Linked DNA regions of Alligator mississippiensis. The main gene of each other region encodes a partner of the protein of the gene in region 2 in a complex. Links are inferred from orthologs where the notes say so. Each region holds a gene or a part of one and is shown on either strand. Other genes may lie near its edges.

What was found. The genes of interacting proteins can lie anywhere in the genome.
Region 1: the proteins of PPP2CA (region 2) and PPME1 are in contact, whole or in part, in a crystal structure (PDB 3C5W), measured with the Homo sapiens proteins. The link is inferred for Alligator mississippiensis from reciprocal best matches to the Homo sapiens genes PPP2CA and PPME1. Residues at the interface, in NP_002706.1 of Homo sapiens: His59, Arg89, Gln122, Val126, Tyr127, Asp202, Ile211, Ser212, Pro213, Arg214, Gly215, Ala216, Gly217, His241, Gln242, Leu243, Met245, Phe260, Tyr265, Cys266, Arg268, Cys269, Thr304, Pro305, Asp306, Tyr307, Phe308, Leu309; in NP_057231.1 of Homo sapiens: Gly84, Gly85, Met157, Asp181, Val182, Thr186, Ala187, Ala190, Ser193, Met194, Phe197, Leu198, Leu291, Trp298, Trp301, Phe302, Lys316, Val323, Asp324, Arg325, Leu326, Asp327, Lys328, Thr331, Ile332, Gln334, Met335, Gln336, Gly337, Lys338.

What each region holds. Positions count from the first base shown.
Region 1 is NC_081824.1:466,851,920-466,859,671, forward strand, and holds the start of PPME1 (protein phosphatase methylesterase 1), read right to left. Parts: upstream 3,067-7,752; 5' UTR 3,035-3,066; coding exon 2,937-3,034; intron 1-2,936. Other genes in the region: C2CD3 (C2 domain-containing protein 3), read left to right, coding at 3,394-3,697, 6,255-6,412, 7,267-7,487. UniProt on the Homo sapiens protein: Demethylates proteins that have been reversibly carboxymethylated. Demethylates PPP2CB (in vitro) and PPP2CA. Binding to PPP2CA displaces the manganese ion and inactivates the enzyme.
Region 2 is NC_081832.1:70,069,837-70,077,004, forward strand, and holds the start of PPP2CA (serine/threonine-protein phosphatase 2A catalytic subunit alpha isoform), read right to left. Parts: upstream 3,086-7,168; 5' UTR 2,990-3,085; coding exon 2,888-2,989; intron 1-2,887. UniProt on the Homo sapiens protein: Catalytic subunit of protein phosphatase 2A (PP2A), a serine/threonine phosphatase involved in the regulation of a wide variety of enzymes, signal transduction pathways, and cellular events.

The DNA.
Region 1 (7,752 bases), on a different chromosome or scaffold from region 2:
AAGGTGCTGCACCTTGGGAGAAAAAATCCACATCATACTTGTAGGCTCGGTAGTGCTACACTCACTAGCACCATGACCAAAAAAGACTTCGGGGGTCATGACTGACCACAAGATGAACATGAGCCACCAATGCAATGCTGCAGCTGGCAAAGCAAATAAAACTCTGGCTTGCATCTACCGAGGCATCTCAAGCATGACCCAAGAAGTCATCCTCCTGCTGTACTTGGCCTTGGTGAGGCCGCAGCTGGAGTACTGCATCCAGTTCTGGGCTCCACACTTCAGAAAGGATGTGGAGAAGCTTGTGAGAGTCCACAGGAGAGCCATGTGCGTGATCAGAGGGCAGGAGAATCAGCCTTATGATGAAAGACTGAGAGCCATGGGACTCTTCAGCCTGGAGAAGTGCAGGCTCAGGGGTGACTTGTATACTTATAGGCTGCTACCAAGGGGGGGTACACCAGGAACTGGGACAATGTCTGTTCACTAGGGCACCCCAAGGGAAGACAAGGTCTAACAGTCAGTCTCAAACTGCTGAAAAACTTCTTTACTGTCCGAGTCTCCAGTCTGGAATAGACTCCCCCCAGAAGTGGAGCACGCATCTACTCTGGATACCTTTAAGAAACACTTGGATGCTTATCTTGCTGGGGTGATTTGACCCCAGTTGACTTCCTGCCCCTTGGGCAGGGGGCTGGACCCGACGATCTCATAAGGTCCCTTCCAGCTCTAATGTTTATGTAATCCCCACATGCTGTCCCTCCCTGAGCCTACTGCCAACATTTTCCAGCCTGTCCCATATTATCTCTTTCTACAAGCCATCCATATAATTGAGCCAGTATCATACAGCATCTTATCACTATAATACCGTTCTTAACTTGGATCCCTTATTTTCATCCATAAACAAAATCTATCTTCACCCCTTCAAAGCTCTCCTTAAATCCAGCCCATCAGGCCCCCTCGCTCCCCTTTTCCATAGTCACTGCGGGCACTTTAAAGCATGCTCTCAAGCTTTTTAATACATGCTCTCAGACAGCCTCTTCAATTAAAGCTCATTTGTGGAGCTTTAGTTCAAGCAACCTCATCACCATTTTTAAGCGCAGAGACATTGATACACGAGACACAGGAGGCTGCTAGAGCCTGTGCACTCGTGTACAGATGCCCGGGGTCCCTTGAACTTCTTTCTTTCACACACTGTCCTACACAGTGTCACATTCTCATTGACCAGTCCCCTTCCCACTCTGCTTTCAGAAGATGCATGTACTCTCATTCATAAAGCTCACCATCTGTTTGCTTCATGTGGTACTACACTGCACAGTCCCAGAGGGCCAAATGGCCTCTCCCAGGGGCAGGGACTTGCACAGCTCACCCATTGGAGAGTTTCCTGTAGACTTCTGCTACAGGAAAATAATATCCAACTGTTCTCTTCACTGAGCTCAACTATCATGGATCTTGAATGACCACAACACAACGGAAACAACCTTTCCTCAGCCACAGGGAGTAAAACAAAATGCAGAGAAAAGACTTGTTTAAGAGATATCCTGAAAGAGCTGCCTTTGCCAAACTTTGTCCCCAAGAACAGAGAGCTGAGAGACTGTAATGGTTTGTTATCAATTGGACAATGGGGTTACAGGAAAAAAAACACTGCGATTGCTTCAGTAAAACCTACTAGGTTTTTCAGCTGGGTCTAACCTCCCATTTAAAGATAATAGAGCACAATTAAGAGAACAGGAGTCCAAACTTTAGAGCTTGTCTAATTCTCTTCTGCAGGGTCTAGACACGCTCCTCACTCACAGACATTTGCCAACAGCCCAGTTTGACTCTCGAGCCCTCCAACACGCCAGAAGCAGCAAATTATTAGTTCCACACATGACATCACCGCCAAGAAAACCACCTGCTCTGCAGAAAAGCACCTCAAATGAGTACTTGAGCATCACCCTCCAGAGGCAACCACCCTCTCTGCCACAACGGATTCCCGCCACCACCTCTGCTGTCCCCCGCTACCCCCTGCCCCGGGCACCCTACCACCTCTGCCCCCTGCCTCCTCTGCTATCCTTGCTCGCTTCTGCACAGGGCACCCCCACCTCCTCTGCTACCCCCTCTCCTATCCCATGCGCCCCCATGGGAAACCTCTTTTGCAACCCCCCCCTCCCCACCCCCATCAGCTGCTGATTGGCGCTGGGCACTGCCCTCCCCTGCCCCCAGCAGCCCTGCTCTGTGCCAACCCTTCGCCCTGCACCTCACCACTCAGCCACCTCCTGTCCCACTCTGCAACAGGCACTACCACCCCACCCCCACCACCCCCTTGCACCAGCTGCCCCTGCCTCCCCCTCACTTATCAGGGTGGGGGACCCCACCCCAACCCCTCTCCCCCCACCCCTTCTTCTGCCAACCCATCCCCCACCTCAGGCACCCCGCTCCCCCCAACAGGACCTCCCCTCCTCTGCCACCACCTGCTTGGGCAGTGACACCCCCCACAACTAGTCAGCACCCCCATAGCCCCCCCAGCACATCCACCGCCATCCCCACGGCTCTCAGGAAGCCTTCCCACAACCCTCAGGGCCTACCCCGCCCCCACCTCCCAGAGCCCCCCCCCCAACCCCCACCCGCTGGAGCCCCCCCCAACCCCCTCAGGAACTGATCCTCCCCACCTCCAGGAGCCCCCAAGCCCCTTCCCCATCCCCTCAGGGGCTGCCCCTCCCCCACCTCCAGAAGCCTCCTCAACCCACAGCTTCCAGAGCCCTCCACCCCAAACCTCTTCCCCTCCCCCACCTCCCAGAGCCCCCAAACCTCCTCCCCTCCCCCATCCCCTCAAGGACCTCCCCTCCCCCACCTCCAGGAGCCCCGCCCCCCCCAACCTCCTCCCCCACATCCCCTCAGGGACAGTCCCCTCCCCACCTGGCCGAGCCCCCGCACCCCATGCCCTGAGGGCCTGCCCCTCCTACCCCATGCGCATCTTGGAGCCGGACTGGCCGCCCCCGCCGGGCATCGGCGGCCGCGGAGGAAGGCGACCCAGGTGCAGCTGCTTCTCCAGGGCCGACATGACGGCAGGGCGGGCGGGCGGGAACGAGCGAGCAGCCACCTCCCCCACCACCACCACCACCGGAAGTGCCCCTCCACACCGCGCGGCACCTTGGGAAATGGAGTCCGCTCCCCCACCCTCACCGGAAGTTCCCGTGTCTTTCCCGCTGCACTCGAAGCCGGAAGTGACCCTCCGGAAGTCCTTCCTCAAGGGGGAGCGTTCTCAGTGGTAGTGGCGCCGGAAGTCCCTCCCTCCCAGCCGGAAGCGGGAGGGAGAGGGCGTGGTGCCGCGCGGCCCGTTGGGGGCTGTAGTCGCGCCGCGCTTCTTCCCGGCGGCCCCCGCGGCGGCGGCGGCGGCGGTTGCCGGGCAGCGGCGAGGCGATGAGGCGGGAGCGGGCCAAGGGGGTGCCCCCGCGCCGGGCCCGCGCCCCCCCCGCGCCGCGGCCCGTGCCCGCCGCCACCAGCCTCCCGCCGCTCGTGGCCGGGCCGCCGCGCGGCCTCCTCGCCGTCACAGTAGGCCGCGTCGTGTGGGCCGGGCCCGCACCCCCCGCCATCGCTGCCGCGCTCTGCCTGCGCTGGTGGGGCGACGCCTCGGCCGGGACCTTCTTCCGCGCCGGGCCCGGCCGCAGCCAGGCCCGCTTCCCCGTGCGCTGCGGGCCCGCGCAGCTCGCCGCCTACCTCGCAGGTGTGGGCATGGGCACACGCACATGTGTGTGTCTACATGTGTATACATGCATGTGAATATGCATACGTGTGTGTGGATATGCGTGTATCGGTGCGGGGGGGGCTCGCTTCATGAGTTAAGGGTATGCGTGTACAGGTGATGTGTGCACGCGTGTGTCCGAGCGTGCGTATGAGGGTGCAGGTGGGTGTGGAAGGAGGGGTCCTCGACGTCGCGCCTCATTGTCGCTTCCCCGATTCCTGCTGTTCTCTCCGCTGCGCGGTCGGTGTTAACGCCTCTCTGTGCTTTTTAACGGCCTTGAGGTTTCATCCCTTTGCAAAATCCCCGGTCTCGTCTCTCTTCCGTTTCGCAGCCCGGCCGACCGGGTTTAGCTGTAGCTAGAAACCTTCAGTCAGGCGTGGTCCCACTAACGAGGGTGTGGTCCGACTAACGAGGGGCGTCTCGTAGGCGCCGTCACGGCGCTCGAGGCAGCTGGATTCGGTTTTGCGACTCTGGATAGGAGACGGGCAGACGTCTCCTATTCGTATAAAATCTGATATCTTTTATTAGACTGACAAATCGTTGGAGAACGGTTTTTAAGCAAGCTTTTGGGTTCAAAAACCGTGGTCAGTTGGTCTAATAAAAGAGATCAGATTCACCCAAAGAACCGTGTCTGCCTGTGTCCTTAGACCAACACGGCTACAACCTGCACCCGTGTGAATAGGAGATGGACATTTAACTACAGCGACTGCAGGACTAACCATACACTATCCTTTGACTGGTGTTTGCCTAGTTTAGTTTGTTGCATTTTTATTTTTTAAAACTTCATGTGTACTCAAGCAAGTGGTGCACGTTCCAGGACTTGTTGTTGTTTTCTGCTTCGATCTTTAACTGAATAAATATAGCGCGAGCCCCCTGCCGTATTAGCGCGGCTTCTAGTTTCTTTTCAAGAAAAACGTGTTGTTATATGGGATGAAGTGCCACGCCCTGTGCACCCCCCTTGTGAGACTCCTAGATCCACACATGTGCATGTACGTGCATGTATGCACGCACACATGCAAGAGGGTTCATGAAACCTTGTGCTACACGCACACACTGAATAAAGTAGTGTGAGCCCCCTGATGTATTAGTGCAGCTTCTAGTTTCTTTTCAAGAAAAACATGTTATGTGGGATGAAGCGCCACACCTTGTGCACCCCCCTTGTGAAAATCCTAGATCTGCCCGTGTGTGTGTGTATGCATGTGCGCACATTGTTCAAGAGGGTTTGTGAGAGCTTGTGCTACACACATACACATACATAGCACAAGCTTTTACAAACCCTCTTGCACGTGTTCATCTGCATCTTGCAGCCTTAATGCCGTAAGCTTGAGCTAGTGTCAGAAAGCGCGGAGTTTACTAGCCAGCTTGTTACTTCTTCTTGGCTTCATGAAACGGAAAGAGGCTTATACGAAGCACCCCTTGTTTCCAAGGACACTTTATGCCTGCCCCCCACCTTTCAGAGGCCTTGACATGCAAAACACTATTGTAGTATTGCAATACTGCAATATATATGCACTATTGCATGCTGCTGAGTCCTCCTGCCAAAATCACTTGGGAGGCAAGGATGAGAGGCTGTTCCTGAGAAGGACAGCATGCCTGCAGCTCTTAGTGGAATCACTAGAATCAGACTTTAGGGCTGTATTATTTAACCTGGGCTGAGGCTTAGTTTTGGGAGGTGCTGAATGACCTTGCCAAGCATCAACAGCCCTCCAGTTGTATTTGAGGATCAGACTCTAGATCTGTTACTTATAACCACATTTATGTCATAGTAAAGATTGTGTGGTTTTGTAGCTGAAGTAGTGTAACGATAGATCCTGTCAGCTGTCACTTCACATTTTTTCTCAGGCTCTAATCCTTTAGTGAGTTGTGTTCAGGGGAATCGTGTACTGACATGGACTTTACTGCAGGATTGGGCTTCAAAGCAGCCTATTTAAGTGCATGTGTGTGTATTGTAAGTAGTAGTCCATGAGATGGGACCGATTATCTTTCATTGTCCAATACTTGTCTCTTAACAGTACAATACTTTTTTTACCTACTGTTGTATTTTCTCACATACAACATGCGCTGGAGTACAGCACGCTCCTTGTTTATGAGAGGCAGACTGAAGGAAGAAAAATCTGTTCTTGTAGTATGTAACTGAGTAGCAGCAGCCAGGGAGAGAACAAGGTCCTGCATGGGCACCAGCTATACGAACTCCTTCGTGCTGCCCCATTAGGGTGCTCTGCTTGCAGCCGACTTTGCCAGTAAGCGGCAGCACCTACCCTGAGAGTATTTATCTTGCATAATGTGCACTCCAGTTTCCAGTAGCTGTTTTTTGAGGAAAAAGTGTATCCTGTACCTGAGAATATATGGCACATATGATCATCCTCCTATCTTATTTTAATGATACCTTATTTTGTTGTCTTGGCATTTCATTTTCTTGTTTTAGTTTTTCAATTTTAATCGCCTTTTAGCAGCAAACTGTTGTTACTTGCATAAACCCTTTTTAGATGCTTAAAAATGCATTATACCAAACCTAAATTAGCTGTTCTGTCTCCTGTAGATATGGGTGCTCTCGTACTAGAGGTAATCACCAAACCTGACCATCTTCCTATCGGCAAAGTTCAAATTAATGGATTGTCACAGCTCTCTCCAAGCAATCCAATCAGTGGATTTTTCACCATTGTTTCACCAACGTCTGAGAAACTAGGAGAAGTGCAGGTAGTACTGAAATCTTTCCTCCGACTTATAGTTTGTATTCCTATAGCAACTTGGAGCCCAAGTCAGGGGCTAGACACCACTATGCAAGGGGCTACAGAATAAAAAGCAAAGGAATGGTTCATGTCTCAGCCTACAGCAGTGGTTCTCACCATTTTTGAGCTTGCTGCACCCCTCATTAGACTCAAGGTGCCCCTCCATAACTTTTGTGAATACAGTGCCACCCAATTTGAAAACTATTTTGCAGATTATGGTGCTTGCTTCCTAGAAGGAGGGGCCTGGGAGTGAGAATATGGGAATTGTTCAAGCAGGGACAAGCCTGAGCCTGCACTTGCTTAGTTTATCTGCTTATCTCCTAACACCTCACGTATTACCTCACACTTCACAACTTTCAAAAGATCTGGTAGCACCCCACGGTGTCCTGGCACCCTGGTTGAGAATCACTGCCCTACAGTCTAAGACAGGAGGTAACTGATGGGTAAGGACAGGGGAAAATGCACACACACTGAAACAGTGTCAGTCAGCATGAGAAGTGGTATTCATGGCATGCTAGCAAACTGACTGTTGTGAATATTTTATGTTTTTTTAAAGGCCTCAAACTAGATTTCAAATCCATATTTAAACTTAAACATCCTTTTTATTTTCTTTTTTTTACCACCCTGGCACTGTTTCTCTGGAGAAAGTGATTCCTTAGCTTTGTGTGATGTGAAATAACAAACAAATATTTCAGAGTTTAGGCTGGTGCCCTGCATAACTGTAGAATACATAACATTTAGGAGTGAAACAACAATATGCTGTAGAGTATAAAAAACACACAGAAATAAAACACATGCATTTCTTTATATTGTCTCTCTTAGATATCGTTAGTTTTGGAACCATTCCCTGAAACCTATGACAAGAGCAGCTCTCTCCCAACCACAGATGCAAGTAAAGATATTATCTCATGTGCTAAGGGAACCAGAGGGATGAGTGAAACCAGCAAGCCTCAGTTTCTAGCTCCACCACAAACATACAGGCCTCCTGGGATGTGTGTTACTGGAAGAGAGTCTGCCGACAGCAGCAGGGCTGCAACTCCTAGGTAACATTTTTCCTTTAGATACATTTTCCAATTCATATGGTTTACTTTTAAGCAGTAGCCATTTGACTATATCCAGTGGGGTAAGTCCATGTGTAGTCTGAACTGTGCAGTAATTAGGGGCATAATTAGAAAAAAGAATAATGGGACCAGATCCTCACCTGGTATAAATTGGCATCACTCCACTGACTTTACTCAAGCTCTGCCAGTTTACACAAGTTAAAGATGTGGCCCAGAATGTATCTTAATTAAACACTTGAGTTGGCAT
Region 2 (7,168 bases):
AAATTGTTTTTGCCTACTCTTCCTCTGAGGTCTCTGTCAAACCATGACTGCTTACTCACCCGTGAAAAAGAGCAAAGTTGCTGTGGTCTAGCTTCCTCTTATCGAGGGATAAGAACCAGTAACATCAGCAGTCTCCTGAGAACAACTGACAAGTAAATCCCTGCCCACTTTTAATTCACCATAACCTGATCATTTCTCCATATTCAGTGTGCACCAGCTCTTCAAAACTCTTGCTTCTACTGGCTTCTCTAAATATCATGATCTTTTATTTACCCTATACAAGCTCCCTTCTAAGGTAAATTATCCTAGAAGTCCAAATGTTGTTTTTTTTTTGTTTGTTTTTTACAATAAACTTTCCTTCTACAGTCTCTCCTGCCCAATGAACACCACTCCCTTTGCAACTGAAGGTTAATTTTCAACATATATTTCCTTCTATATCCAGACAGCCTGTTGATTCTACAGCAGGCAAAAAAAGTATTTTATGTTCTTACTGCTCAAGACAGTTCTCATCTTGGCACACAAGGTCATCAAAAATAGTTCCGTTTAAGTCAGCTTTCTTTCCCATGAACAGACAGAAGTATTACAGCAATGAGTACCTCATAAATATGTAAGAATTAAGGGCCGGATCAGAAAAGGTATTTAGGTATCTAAACAACCATGAATCCATGAGACTTCAAACTGCAAAAAATCAGGTTGTTTGACGCAGAGAGAGAACACCGATAATAATCGAGTTTCCTTTCTTAAGTATTCACCAATTGCATTCGTGTTGCCTACCCATCCACCAACCATGTTAAATTGTGACTGTGTTATTTAAAAACGTAGCGATCCCTGTAGCATGTATTCCCAAGCATGCTATAAAATGCGGGAGGCAACTCCCGCTTAACGCTGTAACACTCGTTTTACTTTGATACCCAACTCCACTCTTCAAGTTTTGTTATATTGCTCATGGGCATCACACAGCTGGCAGCAGGGAGAGTACACTAGCACCACAGCTCATCAGCAGCACAGTCTCGTTGTGCAAGTTAGCGCCAGTTGGCTTGTGTCACCATCTTGGTTCATCAAAAAACAAACCTGGTCTCGCTTAATGCTATATTCCTTTTAATGCTTGGTTTTTCAGGAACCAATTAAGAGCGCTAAATGGGGGTTTGTCTGTATTTTACTTGAACAAGTATTTGGGAATTTGTACTGGAAACAGGACTGTCCTTAAATGGTTCTTACCCACCCCTTGGAAAAGTACTTTAAGGAAGAGGTTGGTAAATCACAATCAAGCGTTTCACAAAAAAATAATCAAATCCTTTTTGGTATGAAACACTTGTTTGGGATATACCAAACTCTTCCTTAAAAATTCTATACCAAGCAGCACTTTTCCTACTTACAACATGACAATTTAGAGACTCATCACATACCATAATTTGAATAGAAGTACAGTACTGGAATATTTTATAATGGTAAAGTTTGACCATGCTACACTCATAAGCATTTGTCTGTGAAAGCACCTTTGTGTAACTTCATAGAGATTATCAAGGGCACTCTACAAAAAGAGATGGGTTCAATCAGCACACTACAGTAGTCACAGGCACAATGCCAAACCTGTCACTTCAGTGTTAGTGACAACCATAAGGGGGCACATCAGTGACATCTCCCAAATCTGTAATCAGCAGCTCTCCCAAGCACACGCCACAAAAGGTCTTTTTCTCCATGCTAAAATCGTATGAACATACTGAATATACAACACCCCTCTCTTTCGCTGTCACTGCTTTTCAGCTACAAGTCCTGAAGTAACTTGATTCAACACAAGACCTCCATTTGGGACACAAGGTCAACATGACGAGAGGAGCGTGCTCCACCTGCACAATAAATTGTTGCCCCTTAGGAACAGAAACGCAGCATCTCTTGCTGCTCTAAGTTAATCACTGGGAACAGAAACGCAGCATCTCTTGCTCCAAGTCAAATCATCGAGCCACACGCTTCCTCGGAAGAGATCGCTCTTTTCACTCGTGCAGGCACACAACGCGACACGACGGTGTCACCAGGCACCCCGAACAGACTGTGCGAAGAAAAGCTGAAATGAATTTGCTCCGACCTATACCTGTCGCTTTCCTTTTTTTTGTGCAAAAGTCTAGTTTACAGATTTCACAGTCATTAGGGCTGGAAGAGACTGTGGCAGATCAAGTCCGGCCCCCCGCTCCAGGGGCTGCAAGTCAGCCAGGGTCACAGGATCCCAGCAAGACCAATTGACTCGTAAAGGAGTCCCAAGTAGGTGCTCACATCGGTCTAAAACAAGGCAAATCACCTCTACCGGGAGTCCCGATTCCCTTTCGCCTCTAGACCAATACGGCCGCGATGCGACCCGACGCGTTCCTTTCGGGCATTAAACGCTTTAGAGACAGGGAAATTCGGAGGAAACAAAACGACGGCTTTAAAAACATTGTGAAAATTTACCGAAGCCGTTCACCCCCGTCTGTCCTGGCACTTGCCCGCGAGGCGGGCGAGTCGGCGTGGACGTCTCTGGCGAGGCAGGGAGCGGGTCGGGAGGAAGCCACGCGGTTTCGGCAACGGGGGCGAGCGCCGGAGCGGCCCGACCACCCCGGGGGTGGTGTCAGGGGCTGGAAGGGGCCTCGCCGCACTGGGGCGGGGAAGCCGGCTGCGACGCGGCGAGGCCGCCGACTCGCGCGGGGAGGGAGACGAGGCGAGCGGGAGGGAGGGAGGGAGGCGCCGCGACCCCGGTGCGGGGGGCGCCTGGGTGCGGTGCAGGCAGGGGGCGGCCCCGCGCTCCCCTCCGCGGCTCCCGGCGCCATTTTAGGAGTCGCGAGGAGGAGGAGGCCGAGGCTGAGGCCTAGGCCGCCGTCTGCCCCGCCCCGCTCCGGCCCGCGCGCCCCGCGCTCACCTTCTCACACAGGCTCTTCACCTGCCCCTCGGACAGCTGCTTGCACTCGTTGAGCTGCTCCACCCACTGGTCCAGCTCCTTGGTGAAGACCTTCTCCTCCATGACTCCCGCCTCCGCACCGGCTCGGCTGCACGCAGCGCTGGCGGCCGGAGCCCGCGGGACGCGCACACACGGCGGCTGGCGGCAGCGGCAGGCGGCTCGTCCGCTGCCCTCCGTGTAATGGCCGCCGCCCTGACGTCACCCTCGGAGGGGGCCCTCCGGAAAGGGGAGGGGACACGGCGCATGCGCCCCGGAGGGCCGCCCCGCGCCTGCGCACTTGGAGGCTTCGGGAGGGGGGAGCGGCTGGGAGGAGTCGTGCGTGTGTTGTGCTGTCGGTGCGGTGGCGCATGCGCCGTGGGGTTGCTTGGTGGGGGTGGGCAGCAGCGCGAGCCCTTGGAGGCCCTGCCCAGGTAGGCCGCCCCGCCCCGACCCCGCCGGGAGGAGCGAGGAGAGGTGTCGGATCCAGCTGTGTGGGGCAAGGGGGCTTGGTCTGGCGCCACATGGGAAGGGGCATGAACCTGCCCATCCAACTCCACGCTGCAGGGAGCCGGGCGGGGAGGGGAGGAGGCCCGGCCCAGCCACACCCAGGGAAGGGGGAGGGGAGGGAAGGGAAGGGGTCCAGACCTGCACGTGGCTGGGGGAGGGATCATAGCTTGACGCCTAACCCAGCAGTGCAGGGGGCATAGCCATGGCCTGGCTTCCACTTGCTCGGGATTTTGGCAGAGGGACGGGTGGCACTATTGACCCCCCCCCCGCTGCCAAATTTCCTGACCCCTTCTGCAGCCCCCCAGCTTGCGGGCAGGAGGTGGAGCGCTCCTCGTTGCTCCGGCGGTCCGTCCAGGGAGCCACCCCCGCGCTGCACTGAGAGCGTGAGCCAAAGCAGCGCAACTCCTCTCTAGGTGGCTGGCGATCGCTGTGCTGCCCCAGTGGCTCAGATTGCAGATCTTGGTCATCACGATTGCCCCGTAATTATTTCTTTTGAACTGAGCCAGGGATAAAGAGTAGATCTGAGCTCCAAATTATTGTTTGATGACCAGCCAGAAGAACAGCCCTCTGACTGACGACGCAATTGGTTCATGAAAAGCTGCGTCTTCAGTTGAAATATGGGGACTCGGAACCAGTTTTCTCATAGGGACAGTGTTACCCCGGACTGGGGCAGAGTGGGGCTATGGGAGGGCTGCGGCCACCCAAAAATTCACCGTAGCCCCCACTGCCTGCGTGGTGCAGCCCCGGCCCCACCTGTCCCACCCCACGCAGATCCAGGGACACACGCCCCCCCAGCATGGTCTCCTGGACTAGCAGCGGAAACCACTAGTCGAGCCGCCAGACAAGCGGTGCACAGTGGTGGGAGCCGCCATCCCCTCCTCCTGGTGCCCATCAGCCCTGGCTGGACAGTGTTTGCCCCAGCCCCGACCCCTCCCTCACTGTGGGGGACATTGATCTCCCCTCTCCCTCCCCTTCCACCACTTACCAGCTACACGCCGTATCGACCGTTGTAAAGATGAAACCAGCATTGAAATGGGGTGTCAATTTATAAACATCATAAACGACATTCATCGCAACTTGAAAAGTCCTAAGTTGGGGGCTGCCTGTAGTTCATGTTGGGTATCGGAATATCGGAACCCCTGAAACTTCTCTCCGGCATTTTGATTTTCTTGGAGGACCTAGCAGCCTATCAAATTAAAACTAGTGTTTCATCGGAAAAATATGTGGTATGAATTGATTAAGTAGATCAGACACTAGATAATTAAGAGTGTAATTCTGCACTTGGATTTCTTCCATAGGAGGCACAAAGACTGCATTCAGTATCTGGTATTCTGCTTCTAGAAGTGATTATCTGATGTTTGAGAGGAAGGTTAAATAATAAAAATAAATGCTTACTTTACAATGTTGCACACAGTGGTGGGGGTTGTTTGCACCCACCCAAAGGAGTGGTTAGGTTGTATCCTGAAATAGGAGATGACAATATTAATTCATAGCAATTAGCATGTGAATGGGAATCAGGCTTCCATATATCTTATGTGTAATTAAGGAGATCAATCTGCTCCAGTTGCCAGAATGAGTCAACAGAGTAGTCCTTCACCTTTGTACCCAGTCCTAATGCTTGAGTCAGTGACAAGTGTTTCATGTTGCTGGCATGCTTTAAAAAAAAGGTAAATCAAAGTTGATTACACTTCTATTAACATGAATAACTATTGAGTTGTTATTGGTCATGATTATTCAGCCCCTATTAAAAACCTTCTACAGTGCTAGCTAGCTCTCCAGTGTCCAGAAATGAATTCCATAAGATCATTGACCTTAGGTGTATTAGTGCTTGTAGTAAGATGTGTCATACTAGCCAAACTGCAAGCTCTTTCCTACTTCCTTTTTTATTTTATTTTTTCAAAATAAGGGAGATAGATATCTACAGCTATGAAGAATGGCAGAAACGTTTATATGCAGTTTATTGCAGACCGTTCCATTATAAGATTTCTTGCACTGCCTAAAATATCAGGTATTGGCTTTTTAATGGAGATTGGTTACTGAATTAGTTGGATCCCACTGTTCTGACCAAGTTAGGCAATCCCTGTGCTCGATAACAGGACCATTCCATATAGGAAGTTATTCATGAGATGTGTTTGTCCCCCTCATACTGATAAAGACATTTAAGATTTCCCTTCACTTGATCCTCCTGTACAAATATTCAGTCCTGGTTATTCAGCAGGATTCTTATACTTGTCCCTGATGAATCCTGGTTATTCACTAGTATAAGAATCTCAGTGTCCATTCAAGACTTAAGTGAGGCCAAGGGATGAACCCCATAATTAATGCCATTAAATCTTACCAGGAGCACACTGCTACTACATATGCAGCCTCGTGTGTCTTTGACTGCCTGATGACATTGTATCCCTAAGGCAGCCTCAAGTGGCTTTCTTGAGAGCTGTCATAGTGCAGATGATATTAGTCCCTGTGACACGTCATAGTTATACAAAGGGTAACATAGGTGATGAATTGTAAGAAGTATGAAGCTTTCAGTTTTCAAGGATGAGAGGCTACCCAGTGAGAAATCTTGTTTTGCCTGAACAAGAGAAAGCTAGCACTGGCAGCTATCATATTGCCAGCCTGAGAGAGAAAGCAAATGTGTGTATATTCTGGACCCCTCAAAGGCATTTCACTCTGCTGCACATTAAGTATTAACAACATATAGGATATCTTGCAATAGCCAGTGGGGATGCCTTGTGCTGAATCTATTCAGTCCTACTAAACTGAATCCAGAGAGATGTGAAGGGCATTTGTCACCAGTATCGTCCACTATCTCTTTTACTCGGAACGAGGTGATACTTCTTGGAGAGGTTGTGAGATTACGCAGATTCATATTCCACTAATATGATTACACCAACTGTATGTCTCCACTGAGGTACCTTACACTATTACTAAGATGTCTCGGTGTCTTTAAGAGATGAGCAGATGAGGGGGGTGACTCCACTTTAAGAAAGGATTAGTTTTCGTAAGTCTGATTCACTGTTGTCCTGCATAAAAATAAAACCAGTACATAGCAAGTGCAAAGTGCAAAATTCTGCATTCTGATTTGATGTTTTTTCATATTCACTTCAGACTGATGCCAATGACTTCACAAGGTGAAGGCAGTAGAGAGTTAGGCCCAATTAAATTATGTTTGTGTTAGGCTTAGACAACTAGTTTTAAAGCATTGGCTTTGCTCAGAGTCAAGGCTCCAGCAAGATGAATTGTTAGAAACAGTCCTATTTGGCAAATGATATTCATTATGCTAGACTTTTCCCTGTAATATTTACTTTAGTATTTTTATGTCACACAGATCAAGGGAGGTGTGTTGTTTTCTTTGAGATACTAGAACTAAATCTATGGTATGAAAATTAAACAAATGTAGCATTTGTTAGAAGTATAATCATGTGCTTCACTTAGGAGGAAAAGTATTTCCTTTATGTGACTTAGAGACTTTTCCCAACTCTAATAGAGTTGATGAATGTTTTCATTAGTGATATTGCAGAAGTGTTTAAGAGTATCACAGTAACTTGTACAGAAGTTGCTGTTGTGGTTATCAATAGCCACCAAGGCACAACAGACTTTGTAAACTCTCTGTTTCACCCCATAATTAGACCCTCAGTAGTAGGCAACTGTCAGTCCTTCGGGATCATGGTGTATGTGAGAGAGGTCACCTGGACTTTCAACTTGTATGCCTTGGCAAGAGCATGGAGGAGTGGAGGCTGCCCAGACCTTCTACCC